Linked DNA regions of Rhinolophus ferrumequinum. The protein of the gene in region 1 interacts with the protein of each later gene in a biochemical or structural test. Links are inferred from orthologs where the notes say so. Each region holds a gene or a part of one and is shown on either strand. Other genes may lie near its edges.

Region 1 (8,855 bases):
GCTGTGTTGAAATGCCTCCGTTTTTGGTTGTCGTCTGGAAATCTTCTCCCATTTCAGCCATGAGACAAACACAGGGCTGATCAGGACCGTTTTTACCTCTTCAGCGTTACGTTTTCCGTTGACATTTGAAAAGGCTAGAATACAGATCTTCTGAGTTTCTCTTTGCAACAGGCGTGTGTAGCCTGGTGAACAGAGGTGAACGGTGGGGTCAGCGGCGCCATCCGGGGTCTGTGAGCTCCGGTCAGGAACAGCCTGTACGTTACCGCACGTCTCACGCAGTGACCAGCGTTGGAGGGAAACTTGTTTATGCTCAAGTTGCAGCGTGATTTTAACCAAACTTCAAAGGTCAGTTGAAGGACATGGAAATGAGTCTGTCGTGATGTCAGGCCTGTGTCTGCCTGTTTCTGGGCCGCCACAGTGGGGAACCCAAGTCAGTGAAGGACGTTCCAAGGCCTCTGACTCTGGCCTTCTCACGGACCTTAACTGGCTTGGGCCTCGTGCAGCCTTTTATTGTGCTAGTTTGTCAATGTGGGCAAAGTGTTAAAACAGCCAGGATTTTATCCTAAGGAGCGAGTCGGGCAAAGTTTCAGAGATGTGCGTGTGAAAATGCTAATATTCTCAAGTTCCCTTGGGTCCGTTGGAAATAACCCGAGGGAATGATTATGTGTAAGTTATGATATACCCTGTCAGTAAAACACTGAGCGTTGAGACAGAATGAAGTGTCGGCTGTCTAAAACCCTGAAAGGAGCAGGTTGCAAACGGTCGTGTTGAATGAACACTTACCTACACGTTTTCTTCTGTGTGTACCCTCATGGAGAGGGGTCTGCAGACGTGTGTGTGCCCAGACCAGACACACTCATTTCTCAGTACTGAAAACTCAGGTCATTCTGCTTTCTTTTTCACACTTTTCTCCACATTGGAGTTTTAGAAACAACCAAAAAGTCTGAATTATTTTTTTCCTTTCTGAACTCGAGTCCAAAGATCTCAGAATCTGAAAGCAGGAACTCCCAGCGTCTCTCCCTCTCGTCCTTTTCATTGCCGTTGTCCCCTCAGTGAGGCCACGTGCCAAGTCGGCTCAGGTGGGGTTCTCCTCACTGCAGCTTTCCCGTGGCTGTGGAAAGCTTGTCACCACAGCCCGTTCCTCACCAGCTCCTGCCATCACCTGCCTTCAGTACATTCTCCAAATCAGATTCGCGTGCCTAGAACTCAGCACCAGTCTTGACACGTCCCTGCTCAGAAACCAGCCAGGTTTCCCCGTTGTCTACGGAATCCTCCTGTTAAGCCGCCATAATAATATCCCAAATCTACTTTTCCCAAAGTGGGTTTCCAAACGACCTTCCCAGGACCCTGCATGAGTCGCCTGTGCCTTAAAGTACCCGTCTTCTAGACCCATCCCTGCGTTGCCCCCTAGAGTCCCATGCACCCCGTTTCCAGGTCACCGAATCTTACCCAGTCAAGCCCCAGCTCATCACACCTCCTCTGGAGGCTTTTCTGCTCATCTCTGTCCTTGAATTTGAACACAACTGTCTATTTTGGAATTTATACTTGACCTCGCTCTGTTTATTTAGAACATGTCGGACTCTCCTTAGACTCTGCCCAGGCCCTAGCCCAGGGTTGGAATAGGCAGTAGAATTCACTGCATTTTTTTTTTTTTTTTTTTTTTTAATTTATTGGGGTGACAATTGTTAGTAGAATTACAAAGATTTCAGTTGTGCAATTCTGAATCACATCATCCATAAATCACACTGTGTGTTCACCACCCAGAGTCAGCTCCCCTTCCATCACCGTCACTGCATTTTTATAAACATTTTTTGAAATTACAAAAGTAACACATGCACGTAAAACATTCAAACAGTGGAAAGAAGTCATCACATGAAAAGAATAACCCCATACCCTTTTCCCTACTCACTCCTCCTAGATGTCCCAGCTGTAACCACGATGATAAGTTATATACCGTCTAGAAATTTTATATGCATATTCAAGGAGAGAGGCATCCTTTTTTAAAAAAAAACAAACACACAAATGGAATCATACTTTGCATCCTGCCTTTTTTCACATAACAATAGATCAGGCGGTTTTCTCATACCGGGTATGGATTTATCCAGTCTTGTCAGTGTCGATTTGCACATACTTGTGTGATCCTAACCTGGAGAGAATCGGGAGGGTGTCTGGGAGGGGACCCCACTCCCTGTCATCATAAGAGCCCTGCAGGAACACTATGCTGACCAGGGACCTGTGGTTCTGGCCCCTCTCCTGAGTGTCCTGTCCCCCGAGTGTCCCCTTTGTAAAGACCTTTTCCATCTCCCCAGCAGAAACCTCACCTGACTGTCCATGTCAACATGCACCGGGCTGCAATCCTTTCTTTTTCCTGAATAAATCCTTTTTATTGATGGAATACCTACTGGATTTTGGTTTGCAGTGGACACTAACTAGGAGATAGGTTTTTATTAGTGAAATTTGGGGCCAAAGGTTTGATCCAGGCATTTTATGCTTTTGCCATGTAACCACGGAGTTGCTGTCCCCACTCTGACTTCCTCGGGCATTTCCATAGTTTTGATTCTTGCCCATTGAGCGTAAAAAGGGTGTCCTGTTATTCTGTTCATTTGTACTTCTTTACTTATAAGCGAGATCTGGCAATTTCTCATGTCTTCTCCACACTTCTGTTTCAGATAATTGCCTCCTCTTATACTTTACCTAATTTTCTACTGATTTTTTTAAAACTCTAATTAATAAACTCTAAACTAATAATTTTCCTGACAGGGAACCATCCTTGATGTCTTAGATTGGACCATACTTGAATGTATTTTACATGTTACTGGCTTCAATTTGATTAGTAGGTTATTGAAAACTGATACTAAATGAAATTGAAATTGGTCTGTAGTTATCGTTTGTGCATCTGTCCTTTTGGCAAAAAAATGTTTTACCTTCATACATAGAAACTGGAAATAAATCGGTAAAACAGAAGACAGACAACCAAAGCTAAAAGAGGGGAAGGGATGTGATTGCACAAATCTCAAAAGAAGAATTACCCTCTTTTGAGTAAGAAAATTTGATGAAATCACTGTCAGTATTACCCATAGCTTGAAAATGCAAACTGCTAGCACCTTAGGGCTGCATTTCTCATGCCTGTGTTGCAGCGTATAAAGAGGGGGTGCCCTCCACCCCCACCTGTGCTGTCACTTCTGTCCTCCTAACTCCCTCGTCCTGAGAAACACTGGAGCATGCATGCATGCACTGGGTTTTCATTCCTATAACGAACAGAAGAAGTTCAGTGGTCCCCCCAATGTGGAGAGTACTGAAAGGTATTAGGCCCCACTGACACCTCTGGGGTGCTATTTCTCAGGCTGATCAGGTGCCTTCACGGGGCCCTGGGCTGACTCTGGCCTGGAACTTCACCCTGAAGTCAGCCAGACTCTGGAACCGCCGGGTGAATCTGAACACAAACAAACTGAGTGAGAAACCCACGTCTCTGTTTCTCCATCTGTACACGGTGCTGGCCTATGCTGCTTCGGCAGACAAGATGGGTGAGAGGGAACGGCGTAAGCCACAGCCCTTTACCAATCTAGCAGAATTGAACTGTTATTAGCATTTGAAGGATTGCAAGTGGAGCCCACAGAATCCGTGTAAAAACTTGGTCTCTCAGGTAGACTTTTCACAAAGGACCCCTGGCCTTTTTCTTAACCAAATAAACAGACTCTGCAGGAGAGCACCTTGGTTGCAAGGCTAACTAGGGGTGTCCCCTCACCTCCCAGGCTTCCTGCAGGTTCCCTAGCACCCCACTTCTGCGGCCGCACACAGTCTGCTCGTGTGGCCGTGGCACCAGGGAGAGCAGGGCGTGCTGAGGATGAGGACAGTCGCGATCCTCCCCGCTGTCTTGGGTCCCCCCTTGTCTCCCTCTGCTCGCAGGGCTGCAACGTCAGAGTGAAATATGGCTTCCTTTCTGTTTGGTTATCGTTACTACCCTCATGTAAGGTTTGAAATGTGTGGTAGGCGAGGCTACTCACCAGACGCAGAGGCACAGAGCCCCGGGCACCGACTCGCTGTCCCGTAACAGGAAATTGCCGTCCACCCCTTCCCTGAGCAGCAAACTCTCACAGTCAGTCTTGGACAGAGGGCCGTGGTAGTAAGGCAGATCCATGGGGACGCGCCCTGTGGCCCTAGGACTCAGGCCAGAGTCAGGGGTGGCTCTGAGGAGAGACGCAGAGGCAGCTGGCCAAATGGAGATACCCCTTCCTGCTCCAGCCAGTGGGCGTGACTTGAGGCTGGTCTGTGGACTCCACGCATTTCGCAAGAGCAGGAAATGCGAAGGGTGGAGGTGGTATGTGACCAAGCCATTTTGGCTGTACTCGGCCGAAGTGTGACTTATACCTGTGGGCGACAGTGTGCTTGAGACTCTAGAGAACATGGGGCTCCCCTGGGGCTGCCATGGAGCAGTCACGCTCCCCAGAGCCTGCTGCAGCACCCGAAGTCACCAGGCGTCACCTGCTCTGGCTCCTGGTGGCCCTTCCGGGAACACAGCACTGCTCATGCTCTAAAGAATGCCATTTTCTGCTGGAGTTGTTGGTCTGTGCTCAGCTTAGAACGGGCGCTCAGAAAGTGTTCAGAGGCTGCGAGGGCCCAGGTACGTGCAGACTCACTGGGACAGAAAAGGCTAGGACTCCCACGGGTCAAAGGTCACGAGGAATGGAAGACATCAGTGGGGGAGGACGCAGTGGGACTCCATGGGGCGACGGCCCACCCCTGCCTCAGGCTCCTTGCCACAGGTGAACAAGGCCAGTTTCAGCATCCTCAGCTTTGCGTTTTGGGGACAAGTAGCAGGCGCAGGTGGGAGGGACACGTGGGTGTGCAAAGCAGTGACGTGTCCCCATGAAGAGAGACCAGGAAGCATCATCCGGCCAGAGACACTTGACCCCCTTTAGACACACTGCTGTTGATGAGGAAATCTCTTTCCACCTTGATCGGCTGATACCGTGGGAAAGCTGGATCCTGTTACCTGAGGGTCAGAGCGGCCCTGAGGGCAATTTCTCAGGCCTTCCCCCAGCTTGGCTGAGACCTAATCGACATATAAGGTTGTGTAGTTCAAGGCGTACGACCTGATAACTCGATCTCCCACCACAGGCCAGTGAACACTCCATCACGTCCCGTAATTGCCATTTCGTTCTGTGGGGGGGCACACGGAGTCCTACCCACTTGGCAACTCTCAAGCAGCAGGGCAGTGCTGACTAGTCGCCATGCAGGACACGACATCCCCGCGCGTTCTCGTTTGGCCACAGGAGCTTATGCCCTTTCACCCCCATCTCCCCATTTCCTTTGAGCAACCAAACCATCCCACAGATGATTGAGTCATTAATCAATGGTTAAGTAATTTCACATAAATAAGCCATGTAAGCGTATCTGTAATCCAGTGTCAACTGGTATAAACGGAATGGAATTTCTCTTCCTGTCCTGCTGCCTTAGTCACATATCTGTGGGAGTGGCTCCGTATCTCAGGTACGTCCCATGGCAATTCAAACCTGTGTTCACGGCCCTTCCTTACTTTAGCCGAGGCGACGGTGTCAGCTGTCCTGATCGCCACCGTGAGGTCTGGCTGCCACTGGACTTCCTTGCAGCCCACACACTTGTGTTCTCCAGGGGAAGTCCCCCTGCTCTGCCGTTGGTGTCATGGAGCGGCATGCAGTGACACAATCAAGAGAGATACTTTCAAATCCCAATTTCTCTCGAGCAGCCTGGGGCAATTTGCTACCTAATTTCTCGGGAATAAAGACAGTCAAGGAGAGAACGTTTAATGCTGAAAGAGGAAACTTGCTTGAGTACCAAGCTTGGTGTAAGGCTACTAGTTACAGAAAGGAGGAAGTAATTGGGAGTCTGTTCATTATCACAGGGGTTTTCCTGCCTTTTTATACATTTAAAAACCTACCCGCCTCTCCTCACTCATCATGAGTGACGCACGTTGATTCCACTCTGAGATAACATCTCTCACCTACACATTGGTGAAAATCAAGTTTGGACACAGTGGGTTGGCCATGCTGGGGTGAACTAGGGTAATAACGTCTCATGCATCATTGATTGGAGTGTAAAATGGTGACACTGGGAAGGAGGACAGTCTAGCAAAGTGACATGTGTTTACTCACTGACAGAACCCTCTCAAGTCCGTGTTGTAACACCTCCTGAAAGGAATAATTCGGGCAAAAACAGTCAGTGGGTGAAAACTTTAGGCAAGTTTGATAATGACCTTTACCAGTGAGAGGTCAAACTGTCACCACCTGAACCCACTGATCAGACTTAGCCTGTCCCAGAGGGGGACAGCCAGACTTGGATGCAGCAGGAAGCACAGAGGATCCCTCTGAGGTGGGCCCCAAACAGCAGGACCAGAAATGAGTCAAGGCTGTATCACTAAGTCTTATGGGACTGTCACGAGACAGACACATCCAGGTCTGGGACATTCCGTAGGACGTGTGTCAGCTGGTACTCAAATCTCACTGTTCTAGAGACACACCTTGAAATAGTAACGTCCCAGATGGAACGTTCTGGGAGGCCAAGGGTAGGCCCTGACCTGAGATGGGCTAATCAGAGACCCTTACCGAGGAATTGGAAGGAAATGAGGAAAAGAAGAAAGAGAGGGCACAGAGGACTGACTGGGGTGGGAGGAGGAAATATGAATGGAGATGAGTTCTCTAGGAATGCCTGTAAATAGGTGTATTTTTGTGCTGTGAACTGGTGGCCATAACCTGCCCAACAGCCTGTAGAAGGGAGAGAACTTGTCCATAAAATGAAGAATGCAGGTGACTCATGGAGAGAAACGTCAGGAAACAGCCTGCTAAGGCCACCTACAGAGTGGGCGAGCTGTTCTGCAAACCACATTTGATATCCACATGTGAGGTTAATATCCACATGTGTAAAGACACACCACTCGCTAGCAAAACAACCCCAAAGAATCCAATTTTAAAATGGGGAAAGCACCTGAATAGACATATTTGCAAACAAGATATACAGATTGACAACAGACAGACAGAAACCTGCTCAATGACCTTGGGTCTCAGGGACATGCAAGTGAAAAAAACCACAGTGAGGTGTCATCTCACATGTTCAGAATGGTTGTCCTTAAAAAGACAGAAGATAACAAGTGCCGGAGAGGCTGTGGAGAAAAAGGAATCCTGTGCACTGTTGGTGGCAATGTAAATTGGTATAGAGGTTCCTCAAAAAATTAAAAATAGAGCAATTCCGCTTCTGGGTATTTACCCGAAAAAACCCATGACAGTGATTTGAAAATATATATTTACATCCATCCTCCCATGGAGATACAAAAAAAAACCCAAAGAACAAAAAACGAAAAAATAAATGAAAGAAAGTGTCTGGGGATACCAAGAAAAGGACGCAATCCCGCCCAGCACACGCGCACACACACGCATGCACACGCACACACTCACATGCATACACACGCAAACACACGCATGCACACACACACACATGCTTGCACACATGCACCCGCAAGGCTCACAGATCGAGAGACAATTGCCATTCCTCACAGGGGTGTGTGACTGACACAGCTTAGGGTGGGGCCCCCCACCCCCAGCACTGGAGTCAGGAAGAATCACCTCACTCTCCACAGAACATTTCAAGTGTGTTGTCTGTGAAACGTGCAATCACACTGTGGGTCCATGTGGCCGTGAACTAGAAGGGGCTGCAGCTGCCCCACACTGGGGGCTGCTCAGTGCTCACTGCGTGAAGTTCCGATGTGGACACAACGGACTGTGGCGTTGGAGGGGGGCCCCTGGTTACCTTTGTGGGGGGAGCGCGTGGTTCGTTGGGAGGGGCCCAGTGCTGGTAACTTCCACTTCCTGGCTGAGTGCTGGTGATGCGAGTGGACTCACTTTCCAGTCATTTGTATATTCGTGACATGACACAAGCGAGGAAACCCACGTCCGTAAGGAATACTTTAAAAAATTTCCACCTGGTAAATTGGCCCAGTGTTTGGAGGGCAGGATAATTTTTTATAAATGCATGTCAAAGTTTTAAATGTACAGGTCTTTGACCAAACAATGCTATTTTTAGGAATTTAACATAAAGAGATAGTGGGCAAATTTTCAAAAATGTAATCTGTGCACGAGTGTGGTTGTGTGTTTGTAAGTGTGCAATGCTTGCGTGTGTATGTCAATGCACAGGGAGAAGTCTAGAAAGAATTTTGCCGAAATAGTCCCAAGGATCACTTATGCATGGCATGAGTTTAGAGGGTTTCTGCTTTCTTCTGTATACCTCTGGATTTTGTTTCAGTTTTCCACAGTGAACTTGTATGAAATGTAAGTCTCATTTTCTAGAATCTGGAGACTTTCCAAAGACCTCTTAGGGCCTCTGTCACTGACTTCTTCAGTTGCCACGGTCCCCTCAGTGAGGCCACGTGCCAAGTTGGCTCAGGTGGGGTTCTCCTCACTGCAGCCTTCCGGTGGCTGTAGAAAGCGCCCTCCCTCACCCTGCCCGTGGACCCCTTGCAAGCCCTAATGTCGCCTCCACTCTGACTCGACCGACTGTAAAGGCAGAGTGTCCACCACGCACGAGTCCCACTGCGGTGTTTTGTCTGCTGTTTTCCGGATGTTCTATCAGGCTGTATGATCCGCTACCATTTCCTGTCCAGGCCACCACATGCCTTTTTTCTCTGTGACTTCCTTTATTTCCGACCTTGCCCATAGCAGTCTGATTTAGGTCTGTGAAAGCATGGAAGTGGCCTGTGGCCATAGTAACACAGCAAAGAAGTAGCGGCTTCAGATGACAAGATTCCCCAAATCAGGGGCCTCGGCCACGCCCACAGTCCCTTGCTTGGGCATGGTGTGATGCAGTCCCACGGTGACCACCTCGGAGTT
Region 2 (8,855 bases), about 25 Mb from region 1:
AGCCTCCAACCTTTTCTGTGCATCAAACATTGCCTCCCATAGTGCTGATCTACCTTCTTAGAGTAATAATTATGACAAAAATTTTCAAAGTATCCTAGAAATCCTGGACAACCACTGTCAGCCTGTTTGTCCAAACAAAACTTGAGCTATGGCCTTCTCTTTGGCAGTTCTAGAAGGCTCTTTGGCAAGTCCTCTGAACACTTTTCCTACAAAGGCAGATGAGGAGCAGGATTCATTCCTTTCTCTCTGAATAGTTTCTAACCAATCATCACTTCCCTGAGAGACAGAGACAGCTGGGGAAGTGGGAGCTGCATGCTCCATGAGGTCATTCAATGATCCTCTGAGATGCTTATGAACCAGGTATGGAGCCCAGAACAGGGATTCCTGCCCTATCACACCAATGAGGTGGGCTGACATGAAGTGAATCTAGGGGAGAGGGAAAAAGCTAAGATACTTGAGTAGTTTGGTAAACCAAGCTATAGACTAGAAAGCTTCAGTGAAAAATTCTAGCTTGGATCATTGGAGAAAGCAATAAATTGGGGGGGGGGGGGAGAGGGAAGGGAGGCCCCAAATGAAGCACATGGAGAAAGTCCAATAGCTTCCTCTTCTCTATTCACTTGCTTTCCCCAGCACTAACCATGAGAAAACCATTCCATTGGGTTAAAATATGACTCTAAACATCCTTTAATGATGTAATCATACAAGCATTAACGTAATTATCAACCGTGTGAATGACTTCTCAGATATCATTTTTAGTTAAGAGCAGGATATTTAGGAAGTGGGATTTTTAAATATTAGGGTTTCATCCCCTCTTTGCAAAATTGCAAATGTAATACAGCATTGAAGAAATTTTTAAAAAATAAAGCAAAACAATATTCCGTAGTTTTCTTTTCCTTTTTTTTTTTTTTTGTCACAACTGCTTTCAAGTTCTCAAATCTCCTCTAAATCTTTTTTTTAAGGCACTAGAGTAGACCGGTTCAGAACTCTGGCTCTATGGTCAGAGAGGCCTAGGTCTGTTATTTATAAATCATGAAATCTTGCAACCTTCGGCAAGTTATTTAATCTCTCTAAGCCTTTCTTTCCTCAGTAATAACAGTTAAGATGAGGAACCATCTCACAGTGTTGTTGGGAGAACTAAATGACATTAATCCAAGCAAGGTGTTCAGTGCAGTGCCTGTCATGTGGTAGTCATTTTGCATTTGGTGTCTACCATTTTCATGGTTTCCTAAAGGTAGGCATGAGTGATTAAATGATGAACCTCATTTAGCTGCATCTGGTGATGTACAGGAAGTAGTCAAGATTGAGGACTGTCCTAGGAGACCAGGAACAGAAAGCTTCAGGGACCCCTGATATGAACATCATTCTTGGGCTTCCCCTTAAGAGTCAACAATAGCTTTGTAGCATAAATTAAAGACAAAGCACATTATGGGCCATTAAGAACTTTCAGTAATTGAAGACAGAGTGTGGATTTTCTGCAATGAATATTTAAAAGCCCTGTAATAAAGGAATCAAAAATTCTCAGCAGACTATCACATTTCATAAAAGAAAAAAATATCAGTACATAAAACAGAACAGGAACAGTAAAAAAATATGAATCAGAACAGAAAATGTGAAACAGAATGAAAATATGAAGTGAACCCTTAACCACACTTGATTCAGTTTCGCAAAATCCACGTGTGAAGGGATTTGAAGTCAATATGAAAATCACACAGTACAGCAGTTACAGTGATTGTTTTAACTGTGACTGTATAAAATACCTATAAGGTTTTCATTCTGTAAGGTGGATTTGGTCACCTCAGTTTTTTCTTTTGCTGTATTATAAAATTTAAGTCAAAAAATGCCTCTGGGTATCATCATGAGTAGTGGGGTGAATTTCAATAATGATTATAGTCACGATACTGGTACTCAGGGAGAGGCTGTGGAAGCATCGCTCCTCACTGCACAGCGGCCTAAAAGAAGTATGTTCTTGCCTCAATAGGCTACTCATTCCATAAGCACATTTGTAACTATAATGACTGGTGTGCATACACTTCCATACTTTTAAAATTTAACGTAATACATAAAAATTTATTATTATATGCTGTTGTCTAGTTTTATGAGCAGAAATTTCTTAAAGAATATTGTGTTAATTATCTTGCCTTGAAAACAGAGCAAGTGCAGATCATGAGATAGTTTAAAATGTTAAGTTTTAGAAGGCATTTTATGGGGTAAAAGAGGTATAGACCATATCCAGAGACAGGCTTCCTTCTTCAGATTTACTGTTTCTAAATTTTGCTTTGTTAAGTAAGATAACAGAGCATGTCCCTTCTTAAGAAATTTTTCTAAGAGTAAATAAGTCAGTTAAGCAGAGGCCTCTAGTTCTGTTTTGTTGTTTTTAGGAGGGATGGCTCCCAGCTCCCAGTTCTGATGACTCAATCAGGATAAAGGCCATTAAAATGCTAAACCTTGGTCTCATTTGGGCCAAGGTTTGGGATATGAAATCCTGCATGCTCAGCTGGCACCCTGATACTCATCTGTCCTTCTCAGCTTTCGCTCCAGCTAGACCCTCCAACAGGCGTCTGCAGATATTCCCCCTGCATCTGCAGAGTGTCCACTCTTCCACTTGGGGAAGACTTCCATACTGGGATGGAGGACTAGGAGAAAGATAGATAATCATGTTGCTTCCTATGCTGCTTAGTTAGCTCTTTAAAATCCAAGAATTAACTTTAAGAGCCTGGGTTCTGAATTTGGTTTGCTCACACAAGTGTGTTAGGTCATGGAGGGGAAGAATATGAGATTTCTACAACAGAAACAGCTTATCTTTCCCATGAGCTCTGCAGCAGGTCTAGACCTTACAATTATTATCCCCAATTCACAGATGAGGAAACTGAGGTTTAGAGAGTTAAATAATTTACCTGAAGTCACACAGTAAATAAGTAGCAGGGACAACACTGGAATATAAACTTTACCACGTCCTGCTACACTGGCCTTGAATACATGCGCCTATGTAGCAAAGCCATTGTCAGAGCCCCTCATATCCAGGGGCAAGAAGTAGAGACCAGGGGAAGAGAACAGCTGTGGTGCTTCGCATTCATTCTATTACATCCTTTCTGGGCTCCACGCCCCACCTAATCCATTCATGATTAAGTATCTATGACTCTTTACTTTGCTATTTCTTGTCCAGCTTTCTTGTCTAGCTTCTTCTTAGGAGCTGCCTCCATTTTGACCTTTGACTCTCTCTTTCTGCCCTTCCCTCTGTCTCATTTCCATCAGCCCTTTGAGATCTCTAACTCCCGGGCCAACTCTAGCCACTGGCCCAGCCAGGTCTGTGATTGCTGCCTTGCTGGCTTTTGCAGCTGCCAGTATTCTACGAAGACCCATCCTGAGCCTGCCCTAAGCGTGGTCTTGCTGTCCTTGTCCTGAATTTCACATTGAAGCCCCACAGGCCCTGATACTTGCACTGTCTGTTCTCAGAAATCTCTTGTAGGACCTTAAATACTTGACCAAACTACTGCTCAGCTCTAATTCTTCCTCTAAGGATTTATGTGTGTGTGACAGCTTGTACTACCATCCAAACACCTGAGGGTTCAAGTTTGACTTTATGCTAATGAATTTTTTTCTAATTTCAGAAGTATATGTAGCCAAGGGCTCATGGAGTCAGAAAAATATGAATTAGAACCACAGAGGTTTCACTCAGTACTTGTATCAGGTAGGACAATTCAGTTTTGGTGAAACGTAGTTTTCTTATCTATAAAATAGTGTATTACAGGTTACTTGTATAGTGGATGGCATGACATGCAGCTCAGATCTCAGAACAGCATAGCGGTCTCGCCCCAGTTGCTGGATGCTTTGGTGACTAACAACTCTCAGCTGAGTCCTTCTTCAGCAGCTGCCCTCAGACAGTTCCTTCCATGAGGGCCACCCACATCTAATGACTGGTAAGCTGGTTAATGAAAGGATATAAAAGTCCAGTCACTTTGCCTCAACTAGGAGCAACCCTTAACGGGTATCACAGTTCCAGAGCTCCTTGTGGAGTCAGCTAGGCCTTTGTTGCAACTGTATTGGGTACAACTTCTCCCTCTGCTCAATCCTACATGTTTTACTTCCCACAGGCATTGATTCTACAAGTACTTCCCAGTGAACTTCCTGCACATGCATCTTCATCTCAGAGTCTATCTTGGGGGGAATCTGACCTGAGAGATCTCATGTATTTTTTTGAGGGTTAAAGCAACATAGTGTATATAAAGTACAGTATATGATATAGCCTGGGCAGTCAGTATTTTCTAGTTCCCTTCTCTTCCTTGTTGTTTTGTCTTTCATTCATTCCTAAGAATACCGGACCTACTAAACCTAGGCCTCTGACAGGAGGCAATGTTCCTCCTCCCACCTGATCAAAACTTTTCACATACAAGTAGTTAAATATATCCTAGGATAGTTGTTCATTCTATTGATAGGATTCACCAAAAGTTTTAAGCAGGTAAGTGACCTGATCAAATTTCTTCTTTAGAAAGATTATTTTGGGGGCAGCTCGTTGGCTCAGTTGGTTAGAGCGCGGTGCTCATAACACCAACATCATAAATTCGATTCCCACCTGTGCCAGTGAACTGCACCCTCTACAACCAGGATGAGAACAATAGCTTGACTTGGAGCTGAGCTGCCCATGGGCAGCCGGTTGGCTCAGTTGGTTAGATGTGTGAGCTCTTAACACAAGGTTGCTGGTTTGTTTCCCACATGGGCCAGTGAGCTGCGCCCTCCACACCTAGATTGAAAACAACGGCTTGACTTGGAGCTGATAGGTCCTGGAAAAACAAACTGTTCCCCAAAAAAAGATTATTTTGGCCACATTGTGGGAGAGATTTAGGTAAAACTAGAGGCTGGGAGATGATTAGAAGAAATGATAGTCTCCACTGAGGAAGTGGTAATTAGGTGGGAGAGAAAGAGATCCATTGAAGACTTATTTCATATGTGGATTTGGCAGCGTTTTGCAACTGATTGGATGTGCGGTATGAAGGAGAGAGGCCTATATACAAAGGCCTTTGGACTTATGGTATAGCCTCCAGGCATATAGCAATGCCATTCTCTGTGATAGGAAGTATAGGAGGTAGAGAAATTTGAAACAAAATTGGGAGCAAGGGTGTGAGATTAGTTTTTGGTTTTGGAATATGTTTATTTGGCATATTTATGGTACATCCAGATGGAGATTTCCAAGTACTACTTGATTATATAGAGCTGAATTTCAGACAAGTGGTATAATCTGGAGAAAATGAAAAACAAAAAAATCTTAGAAGCCACCTCTCTAACTCCCTCATCTCACCCTCAGAAAGCTGAGACTTAGAGGTTAACACCTCTGAGGGAATTGCCAGAGGCTACCTGAAACAGTTTTTGTGAAGCCATGACCAGAAACCAGGTCTCTTGGGTTTTAGGTCAGTATACCTATCCCTTGACTGACTTTCATTTTGCTCTATTTATATTCATGTTTCCCCAATCTAACAATACCTGACATACAGTAGGTGTTAAAAATGTTTGTGGAATGAACATACAAATTACAACCATTCTTTGAGGTAGGGCTGTCCTCTCCTCTCTACATCATCACTGAAATTATATCTCCGCAGCATCTTGGAAATCATCAGACCCAGAGAAGTACTGTTTAGCCTCCAAATTTGCATTTACTCAGGTATTTCCCAATACCTCTCTACATACTCTGACAGCAAAACGTCTGTTGTGCAGATCTCATCCAAGGGCAGTCTTTGTGCTGAGTCCACACACCTGAATGGGAAGATTAATAAAAGCAAGAAGAATAGAAAGAAGGTATTATTTAGGACACAGAGATCATATAATCAATTCCTTCTTATTTTACTCTTGAGAAGCTTAGGTTAAGAGGTCTCTAAACCTAATTTGACTGTCTTGATTCAGTCAAATTAAAGTCCTAAGCCTAGGAGAAAGGGGGGACAGTATAAGACAGAAGAAGCCAACTAATACTTATTGAGTATTTACTGCATACCAGACCTTGTGCTGGATGATTTACTGAGGCTATTTTATTTAATCCTGATTGAAAACATCATCCACTTTTTCATTACGCTAAGTGAAACAAGTCAGACAAAGAAGACCAATACCATATGATCTCACTTACATGTGGAATCTAAAGAATAGAATAAATAAGCAAACTAATCAGAAACAGTCTTAGAGATATAGAGAAAAAACTGAGGGTTGCTAGATGTGGGGGGGATGAGGGAGAAGCTGAGGGGATTAGGAAGCACCAATTGGTAACCTCAAGATGGCCACGGGGATATGAAAAACAGTTTGGGGAATATAATCGATAATGTAAAGATTTTGTAGGGTGTCAGATGGCACATGTCTTATTAGAGAGACCACTTCATGGATGGTGTAGGTGCCTGACGACTGCAATGTACACCTGAAGATGAAGCCGAATAATAATGAATATATATATATCACAGGATGTGGAGTATGGCATAGGGAATAGAGTCAATGGAATCGTAAGCACTATATATGATGTCAGAGGGGTAGTAGATTGGGGGAGTGGGGCTATCACTTTGTGAGGGGTGTAGATGTCTAACTATTACATTGTTTTGTGCACCTGAAACAGAAAAGAAAAAAGATCATCCACTTCTTTCATATGGAAAACTGAGACTAGACAGTTTACTTTTCTAAAACTGGTAATTGGTGGGTTTGAAACTCAAGCTCAAGACTGTCTGGCTCCAAAGATTATTCTCTTTCCCTTATATCATGCAGCCTTCCAGAGGTTTCCATTGTGGTTCCAGATGTTAGGTATAAGCTTGAAGACCAAATATGCTCATTCCAGTGCTTAATATGGGTGCCAACAAGCCCTTCGATGTTGTCATCTTAGCAGGCCATTCAAAATTCAGTGGTCTAGGGTTTGCAAGAATCCAGGAGACCACATGGTCAAGCCTCAGAGAGGTTATCAGCAAGTCCCAAAGGAAGGAGAAAGCATCTTTGACTTCCAGCCTCAAGTCTGCTGGGAATTTGTTACGTGTACTTGGGCATGTCACTTTCCTTTCTTGGTCTTCCAAGATTGAAAAAAATATGGGTATCATCATTATTGCCACCCTTATAGAGTTCCAGAGTGCCTGAAGGCAAACCACTTATGAGTGCAGATCAAATAATAGTGCTTGGTCTCCGAAAATCAAGTTTTAATGCTATTAGGTTTTTGCAAAAGTAATTGGTTTTTGCAATTATTTTTAACCTTTTAAACCACAACTACTTTTGCACCAAACTAATATTGATACAGCTAATTCTATAATAGGATATGAAGTTGTAAGAAAAACTGACAAAATGATGGAGGGGTATGTGCGAAAGAAAAAAATAAGTACCAGAAAAAATAATAAAATAGAAAAAAAAAGAAAAAAAAATATGGGGAAATGCCAATTTTTGTGGGCTTCCCTGCTGATGATTTCCAAACTTTCTCTGTAATAATCATCTCTATTACATAGGGGATGGAAAGAGGTTATATATGGGGGAGGGAGAAAGACTCATCCCTAAGAAGTGGTTTCGGGGCTTTGGAGAAGCAACAATTGGTTTGAATCTTGACACATGAGTAGGAGTTTGTTAGGCAGACAAGGAGAAGGAGGGATGATTCCAGGAAGTGCAAAAGCTTGAGCAAAAGCACTGGGTGAGTTTGGGGAACTGCAAGTAGTTCAGGAAGGTTGCAGCATTTGCTTCAAGGGAGGGGCCAACCTAGAAATTAGGCAGGAAAAATCCACAGAAGCTGAGTCACACAGGGATCAGTAGTAGCCCTCAGGCCATCTAAGGAGCCCACCTTTGAAGATTCTAAGCATGGAAATGTCACAAACCTGTATTTGAAAAAAGATCCTTCTGCTCTGTATTCCTGCCCTCTGCAGGAGTATAGCACAACGGAGAAAGGTTGCCTGGGAACTGGAATGGAAAGATATTTGTGGTTCAGAACCCTGCAGAGCCACAGCCAACCTATAGCCTCTACTTATTACCGTGTTTCCCCGAAAATAAGACCTAGCTGGACCATCAGCTCTAATGTGTCTTTTGGAGCAAAAATCAATTTAAGACCCGGTCTTATTTTAATATAAGACCGGGTCTTATATAATATAAGACCAGGTGTTATATAATATAAGACTGACCAGGTGTTATATAATATAAGACTGGGTCTCATATTGATATTTGCTCCAAAAGACGCATTAGAGCTGATGGTCCAACTAGGTCTTATTTTCGGGGAAACACGGTAATAAGTAGAGGCTGTAGGTAGTTATTCATGGAAACTTTCTTCTCTTCTTGATTGATTCAACAGAAAACTAAGAAGAGAACTGTTATCTACCAACCTCAGAAAGCTGCAAATTTGATCAATTGCCTCTAGTTGTTTTTGACAAATATCCTCAGGGAAAAGGCTTTCACACTGTGTGATTTCCACTCATCCAATAAAGAAAGGCTTGCAAGTGGGGTCCTTCACGTAACCACTACATACACAGTTCTCTGGGAATGAGGTTTTAAAGGAGCCTCAACCCCTTCTTACCCCTCCAGTGTCTGCCAGGCTGTTGGTTTTCACCATGATTGTAGGCTGTGGGTTTTAAATGCAAGAGAGAGGCTAGAGAACGTGGGATGGGACTAGGGCAAGATAAAATGCCACAAAGCTCACTGTTCTTACTGGGATTCAGACATTTTTCTTAAATAAACACTCCCTGAATTGCTGTAAGCCTTTGGTTAATTTCTAGAATTCTGGAAAAGCTGATTCTGCTTTTTTTGTTTTCATTTGTTTGTTTGTTTGTTTTTTAGTTTTCTCATTGCTTTTATAGATGAGAGGTCCTTATTTTGCCATTTTTGCTACCATTTACTGTGTGTGTGTAAAATTCTCTTTGTTGAGTTAAGGGAAT

What was found.
Region 2: the proteins of SH2D1B (region 1) and SLAMF1 interact in a test that uses a peptide from one of them, tested with the Homo sapiens proteins (2 studies listed by BioGRID). The link is inferred for Rhinolophus ferrumequinum from reciprocal best matches to the Homo sapiens genes SH2D1B and SLAMF1.

What each region holds. Positions count from the first base shown.
Region 1 is NC_046305.1:2,823,094-2,831,948, forward strand, and holds the start of SH2D1B (SH2 domain-containing protein 1B), read right to left. Parts: upstream 4,216-8,855; 5' UTR 4,139-4,215; coding exon 4,005-4,138; intron 1-4,004. UniProt on the Homo sapiens protein: Cytoplasmic adapter regulating receptors of the signaling lymphocytic activation molecule (SLAM) family such as CD84, SLAMF1, LY9 and CD244. In SLAM signaling seems to cooperate with SH2D1A/SAP.
Region 2 is NC_046305.1:27,930,780-27,939,634, reverse strand, and holds the start of SLAMF1 (signaling lymphocytic activation molecule), read right to left. Parts: upstream 5,723-8,855; 5' UTR 5,680-5,722; intron 1-5,679.